Regions from separate parts of the Mus musculus genome. Here all the other regions are reported to be linked to region 3. The links are microRNA targets in miRTarBase. Many come from high-throughput screens and were not tested one by one. Region 3 holds a microRNA gene; each other region holds the end of a gene's coding sequence.
Evidence for each region. Region 3 holds the annotated microRNA mmu-miR-297c-5p (AUGUAUGUGUGCAUGUACAUGU, at 2,515-2,536, opposite strand). A microRNA usually pairs through its seed, bases 2 to 8, with sites in the 3' UTR of a target mRNA and lowers its output. Matches are read on the target gene's strand: a 7mer-m8 pairs with bases 2 to 8, a 7mer-A1 pairs with bases 2 to 7 and ends in A, and an 8mer does both.

Region 1 (5,075 bases), not on the chromosome of region 3:
TCTTCATGCTGTTCCTTAAACGGGTAAGCAGTTTAGGGTCACCAGCTGCTGCTGCCTTGAAAACAGCTTCAGAAGGCACACCCTCGGTTACAGACTGGGCCTCCTCCCCCTCCAGGAACTGACTGGAGGGATTTACATGCCATGGCCTAGGATGGCACGGGCTTCCCTAATTACAGGGCCCCACTTCCTGCCTCTTTCAGCCAAGTCTCCCACACCCTTCCCATGAACTAGGAGGTCCACAGGACAGGTTCTTGCCATCCAGTCTGCTTTGGGCCTGTGATAGAAGATCGAAGCCTAGGACAAAGGCTCTGGGGTCCTTGGGCTTCCTTCTGGCAGAGCTTAGCCAGTGACCCTCTTCCCAGTTCTGTCCGCTCACCTTACCCCACTCCTCCTTGAGATGGGTTAACCTGTGTGTACTGTCCCTGGGGAAGGTGGGCAGAGGACCTTGGTGGTAGGAAAAAAGGGAAGTAGGAAATGGAGCTGCAGAAATGGGCACTGGCCTTGCCCCCGCAGCTGGCTACTCTAATCACTGAAAGACACCAGCAGTTTAGGGCATTAGCAGCTCCAAGTGGGCTTTGCACGGTGGCTATTTTGTCCTTTGTGGTACCAGCATCTTCAGGGACTGCCAGGTCTTCCCAGAGACAGAGTGGAGAGTGACCCAGAGCAGGGGTCCTTCACACACACACCGTTACGGGCTGGCTCAGTCTGGCAGGGCATACAAAGCTTTCCTGTCTCAGGCTACATGCAAAGGCAGACCAGTCGTTTTGACTTCTGAGCAGGCTGGGTTCCCCCCCACCCCCTCTCAAGGTGTTAGTCTTGTGGAGCAGAACTTGCTGAAGCACCTAGAGTTCACTACCTGCTGGTACAAGTGGGAGGGGAGGGTGGGAAGGCCCAGCTCAGCTCCCAGAGATCATTTCCCAACAGAGAATTTGCATACACACCAGTTTCCCCATCACCCAGCTTGGCTCAAGTAACCAGGAAGAGCTGGCATAAGGAGCAGCTGGGGCGGCTGCTTGGAATTTGATCCCTTGCAGCAAGCCTGGTGGCTCGAGCTTTGGTCTTGGGAGTTACATTTTGTCCCTGCCGCCCTCCCCGTTAAGCTCCCACGTGGATCACTGTGGGTCAGGCAGCTGAAGCCCTGAGAGAAGGGCAGTGAGTAGCCAGGGCTGCCTGCTAGTGAGTGGGGCGTGAACTGGGGCCTCACTGCCTCTAGATGCTGCTAGTTAAGGTCTTCTTTTGTAATGTCTGGAGAGGTGGTGTGTCTTTGTGCCCATTTCACAGGTGGAAGGCCAAGGTCCCGTGTGATCCAGTGCTACCTGTCTGAGTGGCCTCAGTGGCCAGGGGACAAGAGGTGGTGAGAACTTTGGAGTTAATGCTGAAGCAAGTCACAGAGAAGAAACAGCCTTGGCTTTGAGCCAGGCTGCTTGGGTAGCCCTGCCTGGAAGCAAGATTGAGAAAGAGGCCTGGAGGCATGGCCACGTGGTTGGCTAGTCCAGCTGAGCCAAGCTGTCAGGAAGCATGGGCACCAAGACAGGCATCAGAAGGCCTGAGCCCAGAGCCCGGTCCTAGCTGGCACCTATTGTTTGAATCTGTAGCCCTCACTGGTTTCAGTGGACCAGCAGGGCCAGGCCCTGCCTTCTAACATTAGCCATAGCCAGCTGGCACTCATGCTGCTGCCTGCCTGTGGAGTCAGCCCATTTCTCACCCCCATAGGACAGTCACAGATGACTTCAAACTCCGGCTAAGAAAGCCAGGACAGTGGAAGAGTTCTTCTCACTTCCCCTTGTGAGCGGCCCCTGAATCTCATGGCCCCCAAAGCTCCACAGTATGGTACAGACAGGGCCGTACTGAGCAGCCGAGTGGGCGAGCATTCTACTTGCTTCAGTGGGAGGAGCAGCTCACTTCCCATTTCTGCAGAGGCTTGAGTCACAACAGTCTGGTGTCAGGTTTTGGGATCAGGAAGGGTACTGAAAGCCCTGCCCCAGCCTGCCTTCCTCCGTGGGACCTTGGGCAAGTCATTCAGCATTGCCAAGCAACTGATAATGAACCCGACTGTCCGGTATTTTAGCTTCCTATCCCATAAAGACAAACAGATGCCCACAGACGGCCGTTTAACCTGAGAATACATTGGCGCCCTTGTGTGTCCGTGTGTTTTATTTCGTGTGTTTGAGACCAGAGTCTCATGCAGGCCAAGTTGGCCTGGAACTTGCTTTGTAACCAAAGACGGCCTTGAACTTGTGGCCCTCCTGCATCTTCTTCCGGGATGCTGGGATGGCAGGTGTACGCTCCAACACCAGGTGCTGAGTATTGAACTCAGTGCATGGTTGGCTGCCTTCCCAGAGCCCTGGACAATGTAGTTCCTTTGTAAGAATAAATAAGGCATTGCCGTCTCTCCTTATGCTGCTAACAGCTCCCGAGGAGGCCGGGAGGAACACGCATGGCATAGACACCTTTAATTCCTGTGGGAGGGAAGCTTCCAGCTCCTGCATGCCAACGGATCCTGATGTTTGTCCTAAGCAGGCACTTCTGGAAGGGTGGTCAGGGAAAAGTTGGGCGGAGCTCGTGGGGAGGATTCCCACAGTGACATTTTCTTCCAGAGCTTCACAGCTGTTCTGTACGGAAGTAGTTTTTAAAACAGAAATATGCACTAAGGTACACCGACTACTAAGTACAAATATCAGAGGAATTGTTCAAAGGTAGGATTATTAAAGCTGTAATTCCGCCTCCCCCCACCCTTTTCCTTGGCTGGTAATATTTGCTTAGGAATTGTGTGATAGCCTAGCCTTTCATTTAAAATATTCATGTTCATCTTTGAAGTTGGAGCTGGGAGGAGGGAGGAAGGTGTTATCTTGCCTGGGCTTGTCTAGGGCTGATGAGCAGTTTGACGTGGTGGATGGGGTCAGTCTGTGTGCCTGCCCACAGGAGTCAGTTATGGAAGCCTTCTAATGAGCAGTGCCTGTGCGGCAGGAGGCAGGTCACATACCTAGCATGTATTATCTCACTGAACCCTCATGACAAACCTGTAAGGTAGCTGCCATTAGGATTCCCATTTCATAGATGAGGAAACTGAGGTCTGGGAAGGATAGTCCCTTGCTCCAGCTGGTAGAGTCAGTGGCAGGGCGTCTCCAAGCTGCTGCTACTACCCCAGCCCTTCCTCCAGCTCTGCAACCCTGGTTCCTTGGACACACAGCAGATCTGGAAGGAGGAGCCTGTGTGCAAGCACCCAAGGGCTCCCTCACCTACTTGGATCACACCGCCCTCTGTGGCCCTGATCAAATCGTTTCCCTGTTTCCTACCCTCAATTCTTGTCATCAGAGAAAAGAGGAACAGCTTCATCCCTGCTGTCGCCCGCCCCGGCACCCCTCTACCCAGCTGAAGCCACAGGGCTCTGTGCCGTTACACTTCTTCCTGCAGCTGTCACCTGCTACCTTGCCTCCTATTAAGGTTCAGCTCCAAGGGACCAACTGCTTCTGGGAACCCTCCTTTCTGAGGACAGGGAGTGACATCTGCCCTACTGGCCTCCTGTCACCCCAGAGCAGCTCTACCCACCAGGCACAGTAAGGACAACTTCCTCTCAAAACGACTGGCAATAGCTTTTTTTTTCTTTTAAATTTCTCTCTTTTTTAAAAGATTTATTATTGTATGTAAGTACACTGTAGCTGTCTTCAGACACCCCAGAAGAGGGCACCAGATCTCATCACAGATGTTTGTGAGCCACCATGTGGTTGCTGACATTTGAACTCAGGACCTTCAGAAGAGCAGTCGGTGCTCTTAACCACTGAGCCATCTCTCCAGCCTGCCTGGCAATAGCCTTTATTTTGTCAACCTTTTTCATTTAAAATATTTAAATCTCGCCTCTGTACACAGCATACATGTGTCCTCCCACCCATGGGAGGTGTGGAAACAGAGGGCCTTGGAGCCCTGGTTGGGGGGGGGGTGTGTAGGTGGACAGAGCGGGCAGGGGAGGGGCTTAAAGAAGCATCTTGCTTACTAACATGAAGCCTCATGCCCTGTGAACAGGGATGAGGCCGCATTGGCTTGAGGGGGCCTCAGAGAGCAGGCACATGGTGCCTAACTAGCCGGTGGTGCCGGCGTCCCAGGGACAGGGTGGAAGGTGGGGTCCAGCTCAGGCCTCTGCTCCCCCATGCCTCCCACCCGGCCCTCTGAGAAAAAAAAAAGAGGGTTTGGGCATCAGCCACGGATGGACGGCCTGACCGGCAGCGTCTCCTTAAATGACAGAGATACAATGTGTATCAACAGGGTGATCACTTCTGACCTGTGCGGGACGGGTTGGGGTGCCGCGGGGCCAGAACCAATCCTATGGTATCTTTGGTTTGAGGATTCCCTTGCCTGCTTCACTTGTCCTTCTGTCCAGCTTCCAGGGTAGGCCAGGCAGGGGCTGGGGACCGCTATCTGTGATGCCCGACAGCCCCTTGCGCCACCTTCTGGCTTACTCACTGAGGTGCTGGGACTTGTAAGACAGGATCTCTGCGGCCAGCTGCTGCGGATCCAGCAGCTGTGGGAAGCGTCTCATTACAGCTTCTACCAGGTGTGGGGGGAAGACACCACACAGCTTGGTATATACACCAGCCCTTTCTTTGGCCAGGTCACCCACCCTGCCCCAGGGGCCCCCACCAGCCCCGGGGCTGGGTCTCTGGGGCTCCTGAAGGACAGGAGTGGGTGGGGGTAATGGGTACGGCTCAGACCAGTACTCTCTGGATGGGTAGGTGGGTGGCGGGGGCACATAGTCGGTGGGGACACTGAAGTGGCCAGCACCCATGGCTGGTCTAAAAGGAGAAAAGGAAGGTGCTGCTGGGACCTTGGATCCATAGCTGTGATAACCTGCATAGGGGCCCCGAGTGGGGCCCGACTCCCCAGGGCTGCCTCCTCGCACGCCCCATAATTCTGACATCTGGCTCTCCAGGGAACCAATGCCTGAATCAAGGCACTCCTGGGAGGTGTATGGGAGTGAGTCCTGGGTGTGTGCAAGCCACTCTGTGGGCCCAAAGCTGCCCCCACTAACAGGGAGGCTCCTGCCAGCTGGAGCACAGGTCTGCGGTGAGCCTTCTCGGTGG
Region 2 (5,075 bases), not on the chromosome of region 3:
CATGTTCATGGCTGGAGGCAATGACTGCCTCATCATTGGTGGGCACCTGTTCCCTTCACCCCAGACTGGGTCCTGCCTGTACTCGGAGGGGACTTGTGGGTAGCTGAAGCCTCTGTGCCCAGTCCTTGTTGACTACCAGTAGTAGACATCTCAGTTAAGCAAAGGAAAAGGACCTGGGTTGTTTGGGGTAGAGATAGAAACTAAGGGCTAGCAAGCAAGCGTTAGGTAGGGAGTCAGACCTAGATAAATGTGTGCTTCTAGAGGAACCTCTGTAGTTCGAGGGATCTCTCTCCTGCGATTACTATTTAGCAGACCCTTCAAGGACAAAAACGATGGGGTATCTAGGGAAGGGTGGTTGTTGGAGCAGAAAGACATCTGTTCCCCTGCACATCCCACAGGGGGAGGAGGTGGTCAAGCACTCTACGTTGATGGGGACCTGAATCGAGGGCGCACTGGACACTGTGACACATTCAACAACCAGCCCCTCTGCTCTGAGAACTTCCTCATCGCAGCTGTGGAGGCTTGGGGCTTCCAAGACCCTGACACCGAATGACGGGCCCGCACTGATGGTGACAGCCACATTGTGGGGTGATGGGACAGAGGCCCGGCTGCCTCTTCAGGGAGCAGGGAGTGAGTGAGACGTCACCCCCAGAAAGTGGAAAGGTTTGCTGTGCAGTGGGGCTGTTAGTCTCTCACGCCAGGCCTGGCCCTGGCTTGGACTTAGGTTAGGATTCCTGAGCCCTCCTGCTTCTGAGCTCTTGAACCCTCAGCCCTGTCTAGCATCTCTGTAAGAGACACCCTCTGCCCTCACCCAGGGCCCTGGCTCTGCCAGGTGTCCTGTACCCACAATTGCCAAGGCTACATTTCCATGCCCCTGAGCCTCAGCCCCTTATAAGAAAAGGGCAAATGAATCTTCTTGCCAAATGTGGGCCCATGGTGCCCCCCTGCTGGTGCTTTGACCCTGCAGCTCCTCTGAGGTTCCCCTCAGAGGGGTACATTTGCTGCTGTAGTGTAGGGTAGGATTGGGAAGGGCAGGGTCTGTGAGTTCTGCAGCTCCCCCTAGTCTAGAGATGGAATGAGGGCTGGAGAACTGTCTTTTGTCTTTGTGTTTCTGCAGAGCCTGAAGCTCTTGCTGCGCCTCGCTGCGAGTCCACACCTGAAGGTGGCCTCCGGAGAGACTTTCTTTGACCACCTTGGCCAGTCAGCTCCATTTCCAGAGTTCTTCTCAGAGCTGACTAGACTCTGAGGCCTTTGCCTCTCATCCCTGTGGCCTCCTTGAAGTTCTGTAGTCTTGGTGACTCTTGTACTTGGTTCCTCTGTCACAGTGACTGAGGCCCACCAAGCATGGCATGCTTGTCCCCATCCAGCTTTTTGCCTTCTCCCCAGGCCCTGTGCTCCCCTGGACCCGTTCACACAGCATCTGATTCACCTGTGTGACCTGATCCCTCAGCTGGCACTGTGGCCGACCACGTACTGTATCTTCTGTGTGCTACCCCTGCCCCTATTAAGGCCTTCAGGTCTCTGGATGTCTGTGCTTCCTGAGCCCTGTGCCAGCCTGTGCACATAGGATGCCAGCCTGTGCACATAGGATGCCAGCCTGTGCACATAGGATGCCAGCCTGTACACATAGGATGCCAGCCTGTGCACATAGGATGCCAGCCTGTGCACATAGGATGCCAGCCTGTGCACATAGGATGCCAGCCTGTGCACATAGGATGCCAGCCTGTGCACATAGGATGCCAAGGGAGGTGCTGCTTCTGAGGACTCTCGCAAGCTCCTCTTCCCCGTGACCTCCCTCAGCTGGTCCTGAGGGTCTAGGCGCCACAGAGGAAGAGAGAAGAAGCAGTGGCCCAAATGGCTCTGCTGGGGCCATGGAAGTCGGGATCATAAGGACAGGCGCCTAGCTTCCACATGACTGTCTGGCGTGCTTGAGAGTCAGCATGTGTCAGGCCAGTGCTTGTCTCCACGCTGAGATTCACTTTCGCTGGGGAAGGTCCATCCTTCCCTGTTCCACCAATTCACACCAGCTCTCTGCACGGCCACAGTGGCAGAAGAGGCAGGGCAGAAAGGAGCCTCATGCATCTAGAACTCTGGATTCTGCACAGTGGACAAGTTCCCCCACCATGCTGGCTTCCAGGATGGGTTCGCGTGACTCTATAGAGTGAAGAGGAACCACTGTTGCTCACCTCTACAGAAGGTTATAAGCCTCAATGCCCACTTCCCCTGAGCCCACTGCCGAGGCCTAGACCTCCAACTCTGGTGTTCATTTAACACCATCTTGATTTTTGTTTCTGGCAAGATCTTACTAGTTAACCTAACTGGCCTGGAACTCCCTATGTAGCCCAGGCTAGCCTGGAAATTGCTATGTAGCCTAGGTTAGACTCAAAAATCATGATCTCCCTCAGCCTCCTCATTGCTGGGCTTCTAGGTGTTAGGCCCAGCTGAGCGCTTTGAGTTTGACTGCCTCCGTTCTGAGTCGGGCTCCTGCCAGAAGGCCCCCAGGACGTTCCCAGGCTGAGCTCTTGCCGCTCACCCATGCATTACCACTGAGACTCAGAAGCCTTCAGAAGCAATGACGTTAATTGGGAGTATGTGCGGGGCTCTGCAGGGTTCCAGACTGGTGGTGGACCTTGTGTTCTGTGTGGCCCCCACTGGCAGTCCCAGGGGTCTAGCCCAAGGAGACTGATGGATGCTGAGTCATGATCACATCACAAGCAAAGTTCTTAGCTTTTCTCCCACAACATACCCAGCTCTTTAAATTTAATGTCCTTTTTTTTTCTGACTTTTCTACCAAAAGGTGTGTATTGTTTTCTTTATATTTTTATTCTTATCACTGTTCTTATCTGATACTACTAAGTGTTCTCACTTAGTATTTATTTTATTAATGTTTTCTATTATTTATTAGCTTTTGATGTTAAAAAAAAACCAAGCCAAAATGTGATGGCATTGTATAAGAAGTTATATTTTAGCAGCATTCAAACATTTGTTTTTAAAACAAATACTTAATCCAATTTAAGCCCATTCGTTAAACTAACCAAGTTTGTTAATATATAGCATATGCCGTCGGAGCCTCAGAAGCTCAGTTTATGATTTGCTTTGGTTTAGTTTGTGACAAGAGTGTCAGTTTCATGCAGCTCAGGCTAGCCTTGAACTAACTGTGTAGCTGAAGCTGCCCTTGGATTCATCTTCCTGCTTTCATCCTCTACATATTTGCATTACAGGTGTGTGTGTGTGCCACCATGCCTGGTGATAATCAGCTCATTTTTAAAGTAATTTATGATACAACACTAGGTGTTGGCATTTTAAGAATATATATATATGTATGCATATATGTATACATATGATATGTATATATATATGTATGCATATATGTATACATATGATATATATACATATATACATATACATATATATATATATTGGTTTTTGGTTTTCAAGACAGGGTTTCTCTGTGTAGCTCTGGCTATCCTGGAACAGAATCTATAGACTAGGCTGGCCTCTGACTCACAGATGCATCTGCCTCCTGAGTGCTGGGATTAAAGGTATGTGCCACCACCGTCCATCCTAATTTCTCTATTATTAAACTAAAATTACTATTTAATTTTTCCTATTTTTTATAAGCTGTCTGCTTTTATTTTCCAGTTTTTCAGTGCAGTTTGTTTTAGAGCATTCTGGATTTCAGATCTTTAAATGTCCTTTACCCATTTTCTGAGTTCGTAGAGGTTTTCTGATCTCTTTAAATATTTTATATTTGACAATTTAGGTTTTGTGCCCCCTCCCTTTGAGATGCTGAGGATTGAACCTAAGACCTTATACATTCTAGGCAAGTTCTCTACCACTGAGCCATGCCCTCAGCCCTACATTTATATATTGAACTGATTTTCAGTTTACATCAGAATTGCTGAGATGGAATTTATAGACTCTCATCCACTTGTCTACTATAAACATCAAAAAACAATTGGCCTAGTGGCAGACTCTTAATCCCATTATTCAGAAGGTAGAGGTAGGGGGATCTCAGAGAGTTTGAGGCCATCCTGTTCTATGTAACAGGTTCCAGACCAGCCAGGGCTACATAATAAGACCTTGTCTTAAAAATATATATGTATATGTGTATATACACATACATACATACATACATACATACATACATACATACATACATACATACATGGGCTGGGGATAAAGAGAAGGCTCAGTAATTAGAGCACTGGGCCTTCCAGGGTACCCAAGTTCAGTTTTCAGTATCTATATGATGGCTTACAACTATCTATAACTCAGTTCCTAGGGATCTAAGCCCTTTCTTGGCTTCTGTAGGCACTGTGCCAATGTAGAACACAGACACAGTCAAAACACTCATAAACATAAAATAAAAATGAAGGGAAAGATAAAACAGACATTATTGTGGTGCAGTGCCCCTGACTGTACAGGAATACATGCAGTTTTACAGAGACCTGCTCTCTCATATCTTCACTAAATCTAGAAAGTTACAGATTGTACTAGTTGTTTTGTTTTTAAGTCACTATTGAGGTTGAAGTTCTGTAGCAACTACCTCAGAGAGGGCTAGCTCCTCCATAGCTCTATTCAGGTCTGTGTGACAAAGTTGTTATGTCAAGCATGAGTGCCAAACAGGCTTTACACTTCTTTCCCCACAGTATTTCCATCAGGCTGGAAAGCATATGAAGTGTAAAGGATAATTTTGGTATTAAGATTCGTATCTGGGCCTGGTGTGTGTCTATAATCCCAGCACATGGACGGTAGAGGCAGAAATGTCAAATCATCTTTAGCAACAGAACAAGTTCAAGCTAGCTATGGCTACAAGAGACCTGTCTCAATAAACAAACAAACAGACAAATAAATGGAGTCTTTTATGACTTCCCTTGTTACATCAATCTTTGATTGTGCTGTAGGTGTTAGATGCAGTGTCTCATGGCTACGTTGTTACAGACAAATGATACTTGTTTGAAGGCTTGGTCATTTATTGATCTGCATGGAAATTGTGAATACTGTATGTAGGACTAAGGAAGCAGCCAGTGGACACATGGATAGGCTAATCTGTGACATGTCAGGAACCAACC
Region 3 (5,076 bases):
GACTAAGAGCACTCACTGGCCCAGCACAGCATAATTTCTAAAACTCTAAGTCACCTGTCATTCAAAATGATTGATGGGTGTGTGTGTGTGTGTCTGTGTATCTGTGCTACTTCTATATGTTTGTATGGATGTATATGTATATGCATATGCACACATGCACATGCACATAAACTATACACACATAAACATACATTGGGGGGAACCCCGTGAAGTCAGGCTGATCTCTATGTCATTTTGAAATTACTCATGAATTTGGACCCCTGATCCATCTGAATATAACAAACATTTTTACTGGTAAGTAAGACGTTTCATTGGCCCAGTAATACATACTCTTAAAGCTCTAAGTCATATATCATTCAAACGTAACGACGAATGCAATTTCTTCTGTGTGTGTGTGCCTGCATATACACGTGTGTTTATGTTATGTATATTCATATCAACACATGCACATGCACATACAAGTAAGCACACATGCACATACATGGGTAGCATCACAGAAATACCAGGATGATCTCCAACTGAAATTAAGCATGGATTTGAACTCCTGATCCTCCTGACTCTGTGGTTTACACCTGGTGATTGAGACCATTCACTGTCCCACTACTGCATAATCTCTAAAACTCTAAGTCACCTATCATTCAGATGGATCGATGAGTGTCATTCCTGTGTCTCTGTGTGTGTGTGTGCTTGTGTTTATATGTATGTGCATGTTATGTCTATTCATATACACACATGCACATGTACACAAAACTATACACCCATGCACATACATGGGTGGCAATCACATGAATCACAGGCAGATATCTATATCCTCCTGAAGATAAGCATGAATTTGAACTCCTGATACTCCTGATTCTAGCAAGCATTTTTACCTAGAAAATGACAGCACTCACTGGCCCAGTACTGAATAATTTCTAATATTCTAGGTGGCATATCATATAAATGGATCTATGAATGTTATTCGTGTGTGTGTGTGTGTGTGTGTGTGTGTGTGTGTGTGTGTGTGTGTGCACGCTAGGGTTTATATGTCTATGTATATGTTATGTATATCCATATAGACACATGAACATACACACACAACTATACAAACCTGCATGTACACTTAAGGCATCACATGAATCACAGGCTTATCTCTAAATCATGCTGAAGATAAGCATAAATTTGAACTTCTGATACTCCTAACTATAGTAAGCATTTTCACCTAGAGAATGAGAGCACTCACTTGCCCCATACTGAATAATCTCTACTACTCTGAGTGGCATATCATTTAAATGGGTCAATGAATGCCATTCCTGTGTCTGTGTGTGTGCTTGCGTTTATACGTGTGTGTGTATGTTATGTATATTCAAATATAGACATGAACATGCACACACAACTATACACACATGCACATACATGGAGGAATCTCAGGCTGATCTCTCATGAGGATAAGCATGAATTTAAACTCCTGATACTCTTAACTCTAGCAAGCATTTTCACCTAGAGAATAAGAGCACTCACTGGCCAAGTACTGCATAATCTCTAATATGCTAAGTGACATATCATTCAAAGGGATCGATGAAAGCCATTCTTGTGTCTCTATGTGTGTGTGCTTGCGTTTATACGTGTATGTTATGTATATGCAAATACATGCATGAACATGCACACACAACTATATACACATGCACAATCATGGGGCCATCACATGAATCACAGGCTGATCTCTAAATCCTCATGAAGGTCAGTATGTGTTTTAACTCCTGAATACTCTTAACTCTAGCAAGCATTTTCACCTAGAGACTGAGAGCACTCACTGGCCAAGTACTGCATAATCTCTAATACTCTAAGTGACACATCATTCCAATGGATTGATGAGTGGCATTGGTGTGAGTGTGTGTGTGTGTGTGTGTGTGTGTGTGTACTTGCATTAGTGTGTGTATGTTATGTATATTCAAATACAGACATGCACACACAACTATACTCACATGCACACACATGGGCGATATCACATGAATACCAGGATGCTATCTAGCTGAACATAGGAGTGAATTGGAACTCCAGATCCTCTTGACTCTTTCAATCGTTTACAACTGGTGAGTGAGACAATTCACCGTCTCTACTTCAAAATCTCTAAAACTCTAAATCACTTATCATTCCAATGGATCGATGAATGGCATTCCTGTGTCTGTTTGTGCACTTGTGTTTACTTGTGTGTGTGTGTGTATGTTATTTATATGCAAATACACACATCCACACACAACTATACACACATGCACATACATGGAGGCATCACATGAATGCCAGGCTGATCTCTAACTCATCATGCCGTTAACATGAATGTGCACTCCTGATCACCCTGAATCTAGCAAGTCTTCTCCTGGTGACTGAGACCTCTCTCTGTCAGCCCCAGTCATACAGAATCTCTAAGACTCTAAGTCACTAATTATTCAAATAGATGGATGAGTGCCAATTTTTGTGTGTTTGTATGCATGTTTGTATGGGTATGTGTGTATGTATATGTATATTCATATACACACATGTACATGCACACATACATATACACACAGGCATATATACTAGGGTCATCACAAGACTCCGAAGCTGATCACGAACTCATCATGAAGTTCAGCATGAATTTTGATTCCTGGTCATCCAAAGTCTGGCAAGCAAGCATTTTCACCTTGTGAGTGAGAGCACTCACTGGCCCAGCCCTGCATAATCTCTAAAGCTCTGAGTCACCTGTCATTCAAAAGGATCAATGAGTGACATTCCTCTGTGTGTGTGCGCGTGTGTGTGTGTGTGTGTGTGCGTGCCTGTGTGTTTATGTTTGTCTGTATGTAGATGTATATTTGTATACACACATGTACATATACACAAAACTATACACACATGCACATATATGGGGGGAGGATGCCATGAGGCCAGGCTGATCCCTAGGTCATTTTGAAGTTATTCAGGAATTTGAACTGCTGATCCAAAAGGCAAGCGTTTTACCTGGTAAGTTAACTGAGACATAGCTCTGGCCATTCCTGTGAGTGAGTGTGTGTGCATGCGTGTATATGCATATTCATATAGAGAAGTGTATGTGCACAAAGCTATACACACATGCACATTCTTTATGGTCATCACATGAATAGCATGCTGATCTCTAACTCATCATGAAGTTAAACATGAATTTGAACTCTTGATCCACCTGACTCTGTGGTGTGAGACCTCTCCCTATTGAGTACTGCAGAATCTCTAAAACTCTAAGTCACATATCATTCAAATGGACTGAGGAGTGGCATGCGTGTGTGTGTCTGTGTCTGTGGATGGGTCTATGTGTGTGTAGGTATGTATATTCATATACACAATCCACACACAGTTACACACATATACACATACATGGGGACATCACATGATTCCCAGGCAGATCTCTAAGTCATCATGAAATAAAGCATGAATTTGAACTCCTGACCTCCTGATTCTAACAAGCATTTTTAACATGATGGGTGATAACTCTCCCTGACCTAGTCACACATAATCTCCAAAGCTCACAGTCACATAGATCAATGAGTGAGTGCCATTCCTGTGTGCCTGTGTGCTCATATGTGTCTTATGTGTGCGTGTATGTATATGGATATCATATTCACATATGTACATGTACACACACATAAACACATATACACATACATAGGGGCAATCACATGAATGCCAGGATGACCTCTAACTCATCATGCCTTTACCATGAACTTGCACTCCTGATCTTCCCGACTCTACCAAGGGTTTTCCCGTGGTTTGTGAGACCTCACCCTGGCCCAGTCATACATAACCTCCAAAGCAGTAGGTCACATATCATTCAAATGGATCCGTGAGGGCCATTCCCGCATGTCTGTGTGCATGTGTGTGTAGGTGTGTGTATGTATATGCATAAAATATACACGCATATACATGCGCGCACTTATGCACACAGGCACATACATAGGGGCCATCACATTATTCCAGGATGATCTCTAACTGCTCATGAAGTTAAGCATGAAATTGAACTCCTGATCCTCCTGACAATGCCAATTGTTTACACCTTGTGAGTGAGACCATTCACTGTCCTTCTACTGCATAATCAGTAACATTCTAAGACATATATCATTCAAATGGATCGATGAATGCCATACCTTGGTGTGTGTGTGCTTGCTTTTATACGTGTGTGTGTGTGTGTGTGTGTTATGTATAATCATATACACACATGTACATGCACACAAAATTATGTGTGCATGTACATACCTAGGGTCCATCACACGAATCCAGGATGATCACTAACTGATCATTAAGTTAAGCATGATTCTGAACTCCAAGACTTCTGATTCTGGCAAGCGGTTTTCATCTAGTTGGCGAGATATTTCACTGTACCATAAATATACACTCTATGAAATTCTAAGCACATATAAAACTTATGGATGACTGCCATGTGTTTCTGTATGCATGCATGTGTGAATATGTGTCAATATATGTCTTTTCATATATCCGCATGTACAGACAAACTTATCTATACACATACACAGAAACAATCACATGAATAACAGGCTGATCTGTAACTCATCAGGAAGTTAAACATGAATTTGAACTCTGGGACCTCCTGACGCTGGCAAGAGCATCCACCTCCTAACTGAGACATAGCTCTGGCCCAGCACTGCATAAGCTCTAAAGCTCTGAGTCACATACCATTCCAAAGGATATATGAGTGCCATTCCTGTGTCTGCATGTGTGTATATGCATATTCACATAGAGAAGTGAATATGCACACAACTACACACACATGCACATTTTGGTGTGCATCAATGAAACACATGCTGATCTCTAATGCATCATGAAGTTAAACATAAACTTGAACACCATATTCTCCTGACTCTAGCAAGATTATTCACCTCCTACCTAAGAAATAACTCTGGCCATTCCTATGAATGTGTGTGCATGTGTGCATATGCATATTCATATAGAGAAATGAATATGCACACAACTATACACACATGCACATTCTTGGTGGGCATCACATGAATCCCGTGCTGATTTCCAACTCATCATGAAATTCAGCACAAATTTGAACTCCTGATCCACCTGACT

Region 1: miRTarBase lists Zc3h12a as a target of mmu-miR-297c-5p. Seed matches in the 3' UTR shown: 8mer at 3,639-3,646.
Region 2: the mRNA of Tbc1d24 is a reported target of mmu-miR-297c-5p. Seed matches in the 3' UTR shown: 7mer-m8 at 4,119-4,125, 7mer-m8 at 4,123-4,129, 7mer-m8 at 4,127-4,133, 7mer-m8 at 4,131-4,137, 7mer-m8 at 4,135-4,141, 7mer-m8 at 4,139-4,145 and 6 more.

Annotation. Positions count from the first base shown.
Region 1 is chr4:125,114,829-125,119,903 of GRCm38, forward strand. Zc3h12a (zinc finger CCCH type containing 12A) reads right to left here. Exons shown (of 6, transcript NM_153159.2): 6 at 3,586-5,075. The coding sequence ends at 4,451. Among named protein-coding and RNA genes, the nearest start is that of Zc3h12a, 11 kb to the right of the region's middle.
Region 2 is chr17:24,176,719-24,181,793 of GRCm38, reverse strand. It overlaps Tbc1d24 (TBC1 domain family, member 24), which reads left to right. Exons shown (of 8, transcript NM_173186.4): 7 at 1-38; 8 at 399-5,075. The coding sequence ends at 553. Among named protein-coding and RNA genes, the nearest start is that of Atp6v0c, 9.8 kb to the right of the region's middle.
Region 3 is chr2:10,506,486-10,511,561 of GRCm38, reverse strand. It overlaps Mir297c (microRNA 297c), which reads right to left and starts at 2,546; the gene lies at 2,449-2,546. The region is part of intron 10 of Sfmbt2 (Scm-like with four mbt domains 2); the gene reads right to left. Mir467d (microRNA 467d) reads right to left here and starts at 3,932; the gene lies at 3,848-3,932. It overlaps Mir466 (microRNA 466), which reads right to left and starts at 3,644; the gene lies at 3,572-3,644. It also overlaps Mir669c and Mir669a-2.